Danio rerio: one gene and its partner. The protein of the gene in region 2 interacts with the protein of the main gene of each other region in a pairwise test. Links are inferred from orthologs where the notes say so. Each region holds a gene or a part of one and is shown on either strand. Other genes may lie near its edges.

What was found. The genes of interacting proteins can lie anywhere in the genome.
Region 1: the proteins of fbxo7 (region 2) and psmf1 interact in binary tests that used the Homo sapiens proteins (3 or more experiments, as listed by UniProt). The link is inferred for Danio rerio from reciprocal best matches to the Homo sapiens genes FBXO7 and PSMF1.

What each region holds. Positions count from the first base shown.
Region 1 is NC_133181.1:54,456,547-54,463,207, forward strand, and holds the start of psmf1 (proteasome inhibitor PI31 subunit), read right to left. Parts: upstream 4,067-6,661; 5' UTR 3,736-4,066; coding exon 3,607-3,735; intron 1,997-3,606; coding exon 1,844-1,996; intron 1,760-1,843; coding exon 1,677-1,759; intron 1-1,676. UniProt on the Homo sapiens protein: Plays an important role in control of proteasome function. Inhibits the hydrolysis of protein and peptide substrates by the 20S proteasome. Also inhibits the activation of the proteasome by the proteasome regulatory proteins PA700 and PA28.
Region 2 is NC_133179.1:946,173-952,412, reverse strand, and holds part of fbxo7 (F-box only protein 7), read right to left. Parts: intron 3,223-6,240; coding exon 2,905-3,222; intron 2,803-2,904; coding exon 2,658-2,802; intron 2,274-2,657; coding exon 2,190-2,273; intron 2,054-2,189; coding exon 1,958-2,053; intron 1,846-1,957; coding exon 1,669-1,845; intron 1-1,668. UniProt on the Homo sapiens protein: Substrate recognition component of a SCF (SKP1-CUL1-F-box protein) E3 ubiquitin-protein ligase complex which mediates the ubiquitination and subsequent proteasomal degradation of target proteins and plays a role in several biological processes such as cell cycle, cell proliferation, or maintenance of chromosome stability.

The DNA of each region.
Region 1 (6,661 bases), on a different chromosome or scaffold from region 2:
ACCTTCCACATTTGTTGTGAGCTGCAGGCTTTACACTTTCATGTGTCAAGAGTATTCTTCATGTATTTCAATGCAAATCAATGTATTTAGTTCTACATTTAGAAAAGATTTTCTTTATTATAGTAGCCGTTTTTTTAATCGGTGTAAAGAATAACTGGATGTTTACAAAAGCATTTTGACATTGGTAAAGGCGTCTGCAACTTTTGTGAAGCATCAAATCACTGGCATAACTATCAAAACATGTTTATGACTGCATTAATGTATTACTGCTTTAAAAAAAACTCCATTGTACTAAAGCGATCTAAAAAGTTTAATCAATAAGTTTTCACTTCACACCACCAGGGGGCAGTCTTTGAACTTTCATTTTGAGGGTGCAGATTGCATAAGTTTTATTAATATATATAACTATATTTATTTTATTAATAACTATAACTTATATATATAATATATATATATATATATAGTTAAAATATTTACCATTTTCCCAAGTGTATACAACTACTACTGTAAGAAAATATCAGAATTCGGAACATACTTTATTATCTTTGCTTGAACTGAGCCGGTTCTAATCCTGTTTATATGAATTGAACCTGCCCCCGATCAGGTTTGACCTAGCAGAACTGTTGCTTTGACAACAACTCTTGGATCAGCTTTAAAGAACGAAACGATCCTGGATGTTGTCAAATCGTCAATATCCAAATCCAGCTAACTGAGTAATCCACGTACGAAGAATGGACCCCTGCCCTGTCTTCATGTTTCAGTTGAGATCAAACATCGAATTAAAAAAACTTACATTTCAAAGGACTTCATGGGAAATATAAATGCAAGTCTTTACTTTCATACGTTTGTGAAAATAAAATATTTTTGGCAATGTATAAAGGTTCAAAATGACTCGAGAATGTTAGAGTCATCAAATGATTCTCGTTCTAAGTTTGAGTTTTTTTCAGTATATTTCTTCAGATACTTTCTACCGTTCTATGATTCATGATGTGAGACAGTATATGGCACATTCATTCATTTTCTTTTCGGATTAGTCCCTTCATTAAACAGGGATCGCCACAGCGGAATGAACTGCCAACTTATCCAGCATATGTTTTACGCAACGGATGCCCTTCCAGCCACAACCCAACACTGGGAAACACCCATACTCTCTCATTCACAGACATACACTACAGCCAATTTAGCTTATTCAATAAACCTATTGTGCATGTCTTTGGACTGTGGGGGAAACCGGAGCACCTGGAAACCCACACGAACATGGGGAGAACATGCTAACTCCACACTGAAAATGCTAACTGACCTAGCCGGGGCTCGAACCTGCGACCTTCTTGCTGTAAGGTGACAGTGCTAATCACTGAGCCACCGTATCTGTACGGCTTCTATCATCGCAAATTTATTGGTATGTGATTTCCACCACTATGGATCTTTCTAACATAACTTTTAAAAAATTGTAATATTTAAAACTATAAATAATGACTTTTTCAAAGGCATTTACATTTCAATTGTTGTGATTCTGCAACTGTAATTTTATAAATCTAAAGTTGCACCATTTTGCACAAAACAATTAATCTGCATTGAGTTGTTAAAATGCAATGCATTACACAATAAAGACAGTTTGTGGCATTTTATCTGGCCTGAAAGCTGAAAATGAATCCGAAAATGCTAAATTCACAAACCTTTCAAATGTGTGCAGATTGGCCTCGTCAACATACTCGCTCAGGTTCACTGTGAGATCAGTCACTTTTTCTGTCGTGGAATCCTGCAAAAAAAAAAAAAGAAGTAAAACACTGACTGTCATCTAAAGAAATGCATTGCAGTTATGATTGAATTGCAACTTTATTACCATTAAATTGAAGATCAGGCTTGAATCCACAGTGAAGGCTTTGAGCAGTAGGTTGGATTTGTCATCATTTGATCTGTATCTGAGCGCATAAAGCTCTTTGCTTTCATTCCAGCCTGAAGGAAGCAATTCTGTCTTCTTCTCTCCATCTTTAGGCTGTGTAAAGTTCATCATGTATATAATGCGTCAAACGTTTATGAGTTTGCTCAAAAATCAAACTAGTCAAGTATGTAATTATGCCTGTTGGCTCTGTATTTGTTCAAAAGATACATGTTTTATATGAGTTATACACAGCTGCTTGGTCATTGAAGTAAAGTTGGTTTTAAATTTGCACAATGATTCAGTTACAACTTGTGACATGCCTCCCTATAATATTATTTACCTTGGTACTTTCAATATTCGTTCTAAAATCACATGTACACTCACCGGCCACTTTATTAGGTACACCTTACTAGTACCAGATTGGACATCTTAATCCTTCGTGGCATAGATTCAACAAGGTACTTGAAATATTTCTCAGAGATTTTGCTCCATATTGACATGATAGCATCACGCAGTTGCTGCAGATTTGTCGGCTGCACATCCATCACATCCCAAAAGGTGCTATATTGGATTGAGTTCTGGTGACTGTGGAGACCATTTGAGTACAGTGAACTCATTGTCATGTTCATGAAACCATGAGATGATTCGTGCTTTATGACATGGTGCGGTATCCTGCTGGAAGTAGCCATCAGAAGATGGGTACACTGTAGTCATAAAGGGATGTACATGGTCAGCAACAATACGCAGGTAGGCTGTGGTGTTGACACGATGCTCAATTGGTACTAATAGGCCCAAAGTGTGCCAAGAAAATAACCTTCACACTATTACACCACCACCACCAGCCTGAATCATTGATACAAGGCAGGATGGATTCATGCTTTTATGTTGTTGACACCGAATTCTGACCCTACCATCCAAATGTTGGAGCAGAAATCGAGACTCATCAGACCAGGCAACATTTTTCCAATTTTCTGTTGACCAATTTTGGTGAGCCTGTGTCAGTTTTAGCCTCAGATTCCTGTTCTGAGCTTACAGGAGTGCCACCCTGTGCGGTCTTCTGCTGCTGTAGCCCATCCACCTCAAGGTTGGACGTGTTGTGCATTCAGGGATGCTCTTCTGCATAACTCGGTTGTAACGAGTGGTTATTTGACTTACTGTTGCCTTTCTATCTGCTCGAAAAAGTCATGCCATTCTCCTTCAACCTCTGAACAGCCGCTTGTTTTGATTTCTCCCACAGAACTGCCGCTCACTGGATATTTTCGCTTTTTAAGATTATTCTCTGTAAACCCTCGAGATTGTTGTGTGTGAAAATCCCTATACATTAGCAGTTTCTGAAATACTAACAACCATGCCACGTTCAAAGTCACTTAAATCATCTTTCTTTCCCATTCTGATGCTCGGTTTGAACTGCAGCAGATCGTCTTGACCATGTCTACATGCCTAAATGCATTGAGTTGCTGCCATTTGATTGGCTTAATAGAAATTTGCGTTAACCAGCAATTGGAGATGTGTACCTAATAAAGTGGCCGGTGAGTGTAAGTGTGACTTAAAACAACATTAGCACTATTCATTGGACTGCGAACAATGTTGTACTTTGATATATAGGACTTCACTATTTACAATTTGCACAGAATACTTTTCTGTGCCAAATGTACATCAATGGCTATGTTTTGTAACAGATTAAATAAAGTACGTTTATACGATTAAAATCAACGTTCACTTACCTCATCTCCAATGCCCATACATTTATAGCCACTTTTCACTATTTCCCAGTGTACAAAACAAATCAGAGCATCCTGAGAACACGTTAAAGAGTTTGATACGCAGTTAAAGAGCAGCTCCAGTCCTGCCATCTTTAAACACACTCAAATTCTCTAGAAATGAAACCAAAACAAACAGCTCTCTGAGTGAAAATAAAGCGCGACTTTACTCAGGATGCATGGCGTGTTCAAGCTGCTGATGCGGCAATAACTAATATTCAAATAAATATTAATGCTTGTTCGTTTTGAATGAAATATAGGTTAATTTAGAAGTTAAGACGACAAATGTTTAACGTTATTTATATTTTTGTTGGTCATGGTGAAGCGGTCCGACGAGAAATATTCCCGACTGGAAACAATAGACTGAACTTTCATTCCGCTGAAGATTATAATGAAGATAGCTCATTCGTTTATTTTCCTTCGGCTTAGTCCCTTCAGTAATCAGAGGTCGCCACAGCGGAATGAACCGCCAACTTAACTAGCATATGTTTTACATAGCGAATGCACTTCCAAGTGCAAATTCAATACTGGGAAACATCCATGCAGACTCATGCACACACAAACACTAACGTTACTGTTCTATAGGGTATATGCCGAGCTTGTGTTTTCCCATACTGATTAACTTACAGTGACCTGTTATTGTGAACTTGTTTCCGTTTTATATGGTTCCTTTTACAGTATTGATGTTGTAATGTCATTAAAATACATTCAGTTCAATAAAATTTGACATTTATTTAGTAGTTCAAGCGTAAAACGAGACAAAAAGCCGATTACTCGCAAGCGCCCGTCAGAATCGGCAGACTAGCGCAGAAACTCCATTGAATATACTGGGGTAAAACAAATGTTCATATTATAAAGACATGGCGGGGGAACATGCAATTTAATGCAGTGCTTCTTGTACAATCTGAGACCCACTTTAAATCGGATATAATTCTGCTAGTAAAGATCGCTGATTTTTAAAGGAAACAGACCTTAAACGCACCGATTTTGCATTGGCATTCAATTGGCCGGAAGCGCTTAACCCAGGTTAATGGCAAATTAAAAGTCATATTTGCATGCTTTGGCATATACCCTATTTCACCTGTACCACATGTATTTGGAGCACCCGGTGAAAACCCACGCCAACGGAACATGCCAACTCCATACAGAAATGCCAACCATTCCAGCTGGGGCTCGAACCGACCTTGTTGTGAGGCGACAGTGCTAACCACTAAGCTACCGTAACGCTTTTAAGGTAAGTAGTTTTTGATATTTCCCAACATGTATAACATAGCAGCTGTTGTTAATGAGCCTATATAAATTTTAGTCAGTGGATTTGATAGATTATTTGAAATGTTTGAAATAGTGGGCGTTTTATGTCGTAATGTGAACACAGCATTTATTTATGAATATGTATTTATTTATTTCGCCATATATCTCCATATATTAGGGCCTACATAACTTTTTAAAGTTATAGGCTATAATTAATTTTCTTAGTCAAAACCATATTCCTTCTGAAAATGGACATACAAGTGTTACTTTTTATTTATTGTAATGTTTGTTTAGCGAACCGACCATTTAACTACAGTTTTAGTATAGTATGGGGCTAAATACCTCCGTAGACTACAGCGAATAGTCCGGACTGCTGAACGTATCACTGGCACTACCCTACCTACACTTCAAGAACTGTACTCTTCCAGAGTGAGTAAACGGGCTCGCAAAATCACTCTGGATGCCTCGCACCCAGCACACTACCTGTTTGAACTATTACCGTCTGGTCTGCGCTTCAGAGCACCAAGCACAAAAATAAGTAGACACAGGAAAAGTTTCTTTCCTCAGGCCATCTACCTTATGAACAGTTAAATATTCCCCAACTGTGCAGTCAGGGGCGGACTGGGACTAAAAATCAGCCCTGGCACTGTAGCCACACCAGCCCACATTACCACACTGACACAGCCCCATGCACGGACACGCACATTCACTACTTATATTGGTGTCCTGATGGTAAAATAATATAAGCAGTACCATATATGTAATAGATATTTAAACATTTAATGTATGTGACTGGAACAAAAACGAATTTATATACAATCGTTTCATTCATTCATTATCATTTCAGCTTAGTCCCTTTATTAATCTGGATCACCACAGCGAAATGAACCGCCAACTTGTTCAGCATATGTTTTACGCAGCAGATGCCCTCCAAATTGCAACCCACTGTGAAACCTCTATACACACACATTCAAATACATGCACTATGGACAATTAAGCCTACCCAATTCACCTACAGCACATGTGTTTGGACTTGTGAGGGAAACCAGGAGGAAACCCATGCGAACATGCAAACTCTACACAGAAACACCAACTAACCCAGCCGAGGCTCGAAAAAGCAACCTTCTTGCACCCCTGCGCTGCCCTCTTTCAAGACTATTTCAGTTAATTTTAGGCATTTGGCAGTGTTTTAATTTTTTAATTTTTATTATTTAATTTTTTTTGCTTTCTCTGAGCTTTTCGGCACCGCCTTTCCTTTTTTATGGTCCATTTCTGACAGTTAGCTTGTGTTGCACTTACTATTTGTTTGACATTCTTGCCAGATTTTGATTACGTCCACGTAACCTCTAATTGGCTCTGGCCATCTTAAAACCAGCCGGTCATTGCCAATTGGGCCAATGCTTAACATTTATTATTATTATTATTACTATTATCATCATCATCATCATCATCATCATCATAATACTCACATCTTGCAAGAGATAAAAGCTGCTTGCATGTAAAAGCAATACATATAAAAAAAATTAATAAAATAATAGCTGACCGGCCCACATTTAAAAAATGGTTTGGCCCTTCTGGCATTTGCCAGAATTGCCAGATGGCCAGTCCGCCCCTGTGTGCAATAAATATGTGCAATACTTTCTCATACGCATTTGTACACAGCACCGGATAACCTGTATATGTATAACAAATCTGTACATATAATTCAACATCTAGATTTCTTGACTTACAGCATACAGTATCTGTTTAATGTTTATCGTCTTTTATT
Region 2 (6,240 bases):
AAGACACACACAACTGAAAGAACGATTAGAACTCAAAAACTCACTCCAAAAGAAATGTAATGTGTGTTTGTAATCTATATGCTCTGCCCTAAAGCTAAAGTAATTAAAATAGTATATGCATGCGTTAATGAAGTCCCTTTTGATCTTATATAGTATAGAAATGCCTAGATGCTATCTGATGTGCGTTTAGAGTGTCGTGTTTAGTAGCATTACGTTTCTCCTGCTATTTTACAACCATATGACAATAACTTTTACAGCTTGCATTCTTTAATGCTCAGAGGTAAGGTCCAGCTGTATGCTCAGGGACGACCCTCATTATGCATATCAACGGTCAAACGCTCAAATCCTTGCCCTGAAACCACTGGTCACTCAGTAGAAAATAGGTGTGACTTGACCCATAGTTAAAACCCATTTTCTCCCAGACATTGGAGCAGAAGGGTTTAGGAGTCTTTAACAGTTGTGTGGAACTGAACTAGATTTGCCATTCTTTTATCTAAACTCTTTATTTGCTCGCTTGCTTCTTTTATATGTTTTTGTTGTTATGTTTTGTACGTTTGTTTTGATATGTTAGACTAGTCAATAAATCAGGCTATAACCATGTTGTCTTTGTTTTGCCTCACAGAAAAGGTCAATTTAACGACAGAGCGTTTGCTACAAGCTTTACTAAAACAAGTTTACAGTTTACCAAAACGTCTAAACTATTCATCTACATCACATGTAGCAGGGCTGGAGTGGGACTCCTTTTCAGCCCTGGAGTTTCAAGCAGACCGGCCCACCTCAGTTCACGACTGACTATATTAATATAAGGTCATTTCCAATTCAGTTTCTAATTATGCTATCATGTCTTTTTCAAGAAAACAGCTGCTTTAGAACTTTAAATGTTCAACAACCGTACAGTTTGATATGTCTCAACAATAAAAATGAAAAAAAAAAAAAAAAAAAAAAAAAAAATAATAATAATAATTTAGCCGGAATAATAATTACATCATCATTACATGCAGGCTGCATTTTGCTCATGGGGCTGTGAGACAATAAATAACCGGAGCTGCGGCAAAATAATGAATAAAAAGAGTGAGGCTTTGTTCAATAAATATATAAATGAAAAAAAAAGTGCAACTGCTGAGAGTGCAAGCAGCTAGAAACACCAGCCCTCGCGGCCAAAAAACGGACCGGCCCACCGGAAACTCTCCCGGTCCTCCTGATTGGCCAATCCGGCCCTGACAAATACTTATAATTCCCTTTCTAAATAAATAAATAATTACAGTCTGCTCAGACGAGCGGGCAAAATCATTGTTATATTTATTTAGTCAAATTAACTATAAGTTAATTCAGAATATTAATAAACATTATTATTGATCTTTAATATTCACTATATACACTAATTATTTTTTTAAATACTGTTTTAGTATGCGAATTAGGACGCAGCATTTGTTTATCCTCCTACACAAATCAATGGTAACAGGTTTTCAGCATTCTCCTAAATATTTTCTTTCGTGTTCAACAGAGTAAAGAAAGTCAAAGGTTAGGAAACACTCGAGGGAGAGTATATAATGATTGATTACAATTTTTGCATGAACTAAACCTTTAAAAAAAACTAGCATTTGTCAGCCGATATTGATATGGCCACAGACATATCGTGCATCCTAAAGTGTATATTTGCGCATTTACCCCTAAAGTCTCTGTGCAGCAGGTGTCTCCAGAGTGAAGCATCATGGGTGGCGGTGTTCAGGTGCCGACACACAGCCGACAGCGAGACGAGAGATCGAACGTCCAGCAGACGCAGCAAACGCAGCAGCAGCTCAGGAGGAAGAACAGGCAGACCGAAGAGCAGAGGCAGACCCAGAGCTATACACACATGCACAAAGACATTTATTAAACACTTTGACAAACCCGTGTGAACAGTACATGCACACAAAGCACTCTGACACACACGTGTGAACAGTAAACACACACTCACCCTGTCTGGCAGTGGCCATGAGCGGATACACCAGCTGATCTCTGACCAGGCGAGAGAGTCTGCGCAGATCTCTGTAGACCACACCTGAGCTGCCGCCTGCACACACACATGGCAGGTCATTCAGTCCATAATCCTGCTGTGCTTTTACAGATGATTAATGCGTGTGTGTGTGTGTGTGTGTGTGTGTGTGTGTGTGTGTGTGTGTGTGTGTGTGTGTGTGTGTGAGCTTCACCTGTCCACTCAGCTGTCACATACTCGTCAGGTTTGAGCAGCAGTTTGCGGGAATTCTCCAAACTCGTCTCCATCTTCAGGACGGCTGATCAAAAGCAAAAACAAGATTGTTTTATTCCCCCATCGGCAGATTATTCTGCTTGTTTTAAAGAAATTTTCACTCATTACTTCAGAAAACACCACTATATTTTTGGCTTGTCTAGAAAATGCTTCTTGATTTAAGAATTTCGACATCTCTGGACTAGAAACGAGACAACAAAATCTAGGAAAAGCATTTTTACAGGATAAAAAACATTAAATAAAAGAAATCTTAGCTGTAAAAACTAAGTCACTTCACTGTTCTAATGTCGACTGTCATGTAATGATGTGCACCCTTTGTAAAGCTGCTTTGGAATGATAATAATAGTAAAAAACACTTTACAAATACACTTAAATTGAACATATCAGTGTTACATACGGTGTATATTACCATTTATGACCAGAGTTTGAACCATGGGCACGGCCACCACCGACACCAGGCTGTTCTCCAGCAGAGGGTGGACATACTGGATTCTAAACACACCCCCTGCGGCCTGCCAGCCAATCGGCATCTCCCCTGAGCTCACGGCTCCGCCCTGAAGCGAGAAGGAGAGAGTAAATACAGAGGACATTTTCATTCTTGGGTGAACTTTCCCTTTAGGATAGAAAGAACATAGCCCAGGTGAAGTGGATATCACCTGTGGGATGAAGCCGGTCTCCAGCAGCAGCAGGTGTAGCGCCAGCATTAGGCAGTCGGAGGGGCTTCTGCAGGTGGAGGAGTCTAGCAGCCGCTCCAGAGCGAGAGGGAGGAGACCGTCTTCAGCCTCACAGCAGAGCAGGGGAGGAGCCGCAGCACACACACACTCCTGCTGCTGCTGCTGCTGATCCATACAGTCCTGCTGAAGATCCACACACTCCTGCTGCTGATCCACACGCTCCAGCAGATCCTGATCCACACACTCCTGCACATGCTGCTCCATCACACTGCTGCTACTGCTGACATGTGATCCACCAGCCTGAACACATACACACACACACACACACACACACACACACACACACACACACACACACACACACGCCAAGTCATGGCTTCAGTCCGTTTGTCTTTTTGTTTTTATTTTCATGGCTTGTAAGATAACCCCAGCAGTGCAGTTTCAGAATTATAAGGGGAACCAACAGTTTTAACCCAAAAATGAAAAGTCTGTCTGATGAAGAAGAACCGGAGTTAGAGATTCAGTTAAAAAGAAAGTTTGCTGAAGATAGTTTGTAGTTTCATCAGCAGAAGCCAACTTCAACACTCACTTAGAGTTCGTAGGCCACTCTGTACACAAAATGCTACACAGGGACTCAAAGAAATCGTCTCCCACCTCAGGGGCACCACCACAGCCACCACAGTGTAAACACAATATGATTTTGCTGTTGACATTATTAAAGTACTTAAATAGATAAATAAATAAATAAATAAATAGCAGCCACTAAATTATTGTGGATTGATTGGTGCCACTGGCGTAGCAGATTCACTGCTATTCCCCCTCTCGATCTTCATTGACAGCCCGCACACACCTTCAATAGTCAGCAATGGCAATTTCATATTTAACTTAAGGTACATCAATAGAGGAAGCTGTATTAATAATATTGTGGCTCAAAAAGGAATATGGATAAATGATATTATTAATCTGTATAGTGGGTGTGTGTGTATGTAGTAATGTCTTTTGTTCAGTTTGTTCATCATTTGTTTGTTTTATTAAATTATTCATTAATTTTAGACATGGCATATACTGTACAATAAAAGACTGTAAAAAATAACTGAAAAGTTTTATATATATATAAATATTGACTTTTATTTGGTTTGTGCATGTACTTGCTGAATTATTTCAAGAAATAAATTGCAATATTTCAAGAATAATTAATTAAAATGAATTAAAACCACATTATTTCATTTACCAGAAACATAAATACAACATTACACTGATTTTTTGTGTGTGTGCCACCCCAAGATTCAGCATGGCCTCTTCTGGCAAATCCTAAGATGTTCTGGGGATGCCACTGTCCCACCTGGGTTCAAAGTTCACCTAAAGAAGGTGGAGGGCAGAAACAAAGAGAATGCTGATATGACATATCTAGCTTCATCTTGTACAGCAGACGAAAAATAAAAATGAACTGATATAAATCAGAAGGCCAAACTAGATATGATCTGTGATTTGGCAGAAGGATTACAAGCGATGATCAGTGGAATGACTTGGCCAGGATTAATGGATGAAGATTCATCAAGCAAACAAGACCCAAAACTAGGGAAAATAAGGACATTATTTTGCTAGAGAAAGCTCACCAGAGGTAAGAGGACAGCAGAAGATAACAAAGGCAAAAAAGAAACATGAGACCCCGCTGCCGAATGAGTCTCCAGTGAGCCAAGCTCTGAAACTAACTGCTGTGCTGAAGAGGAGCACTCAGTCCGTAAATAAGTGATGCTGGGGATGAGTACAAAAATAAGATAATCTCAGGGGGTCAGTGAGTTAAGCAACAGGGCTCCGTACCTGTTAACATAAACAACATTCTCCCCAGGGGCATCGGTTACAGACAAAACTCACGAATGATCAGAATAGGTGAACTGTACAAAGCTGATGACGAATTAAGGCAATGATCATACCAAGAAGAAGATAAGGCTGCAGCTAGGGACAATACTAGGTAAAGCCCTTCAAGATGAGGGGCGGAAAGGGCTGAAACAATAAAATAAATAGGAGTTTACCCATACTGCTTAGACAGACGGGAGACTGAATTCAGTGTATGCACAGATAAGGGAAGTTCAAGAGGTGACAGATTTAGTGCCTGGATTATCAGACTAAAACTTTTAGGGCCGCAAACATCATGGGGGAAATGAACTTTGCCATTAGATGAGAAAGAAAAAAAAAGATAATTACTGAAAAACTGCAAAGACTAATAGCTGAATATAAAACACCAGAGCCAAAAGCCTCAGGTCACAAGGAAGAATAAAAGTAAATACAAATAAACGGATTTCAAACAAAAATCTGGAGAGAATGACTCTGTCTCTAAAGAGGAATGGGCAAAACTGACCCCAGAACAGAGACTAGAAATCATAGACAAGAGAAACTCAAAGAAAGAGTCTAAAACTAAAGCAGTTAAAAGCAACAAGAACGTTGTTAACAGTAACAGAGTCACCCAAATCTCAAGAGGACTAGGGGTGCCTGCCTCCAAGTAAAACAACCTTAATATATTATGATGGAATAATCTTTAACTGGTGGTAATTCACTTGCCTAAAAAAGCCAAAGAAACTTAAACAGCTTTCAATATTAAAGACTTCAGAGGTTATGTAGAAAAGGAAAACGTTTACAGATCACAAAAGGTGTTAGTAAACTGAAAGCTGCCAGCACAATATTAAAAAGTAGAGAAATAGGCTGGTTATTGATTAAAAAGTAAACCAGGAGGAGGAACTAAAGAGAATGGCCGAAACAATTAAAGCCAACACTAATAAAGTCAGAGAGAACTTAGGAGAAAAAATATAAATCAAGCACATAGTAGAAAATGACTGCAAAAAATTTTCATAAATAGGAATGTGATCAAACTGTGCCATTGCACCACCCCACTATAGACAATACCCTATTAATAAAAGGGAAAGAAAACAAATACAGGAATTAAAGCTGAAAGATAAATAGAGGAACTTGATAATGCACCAACAAAATTCCTTATACAAGTGTTTGCAAAACCAGATGGAGGGTGGAGGTTGGTAACAAAATAAACCAACAATACTAGATACAAGATACCCGATTAATGCAAGAGATGCTCCAGGAGCAGCCCCAGAAGAAAAATATTATCAAAAATATTTGGATTTTGTGCCTGAGAGGCAACCTCGCATTTACATTTGTTAATAAGCGGTATAATTAATTTTCGATTTTCGAACTCTCCAAATGCTTTTCAAGCTATAATGATGGAGGTTCTTAAAGGGCGACCTATTGTGATTTATAAAGATGACAGTCTTATAGTCACAAAGAATGAATAGAAACACCTCAAAATAT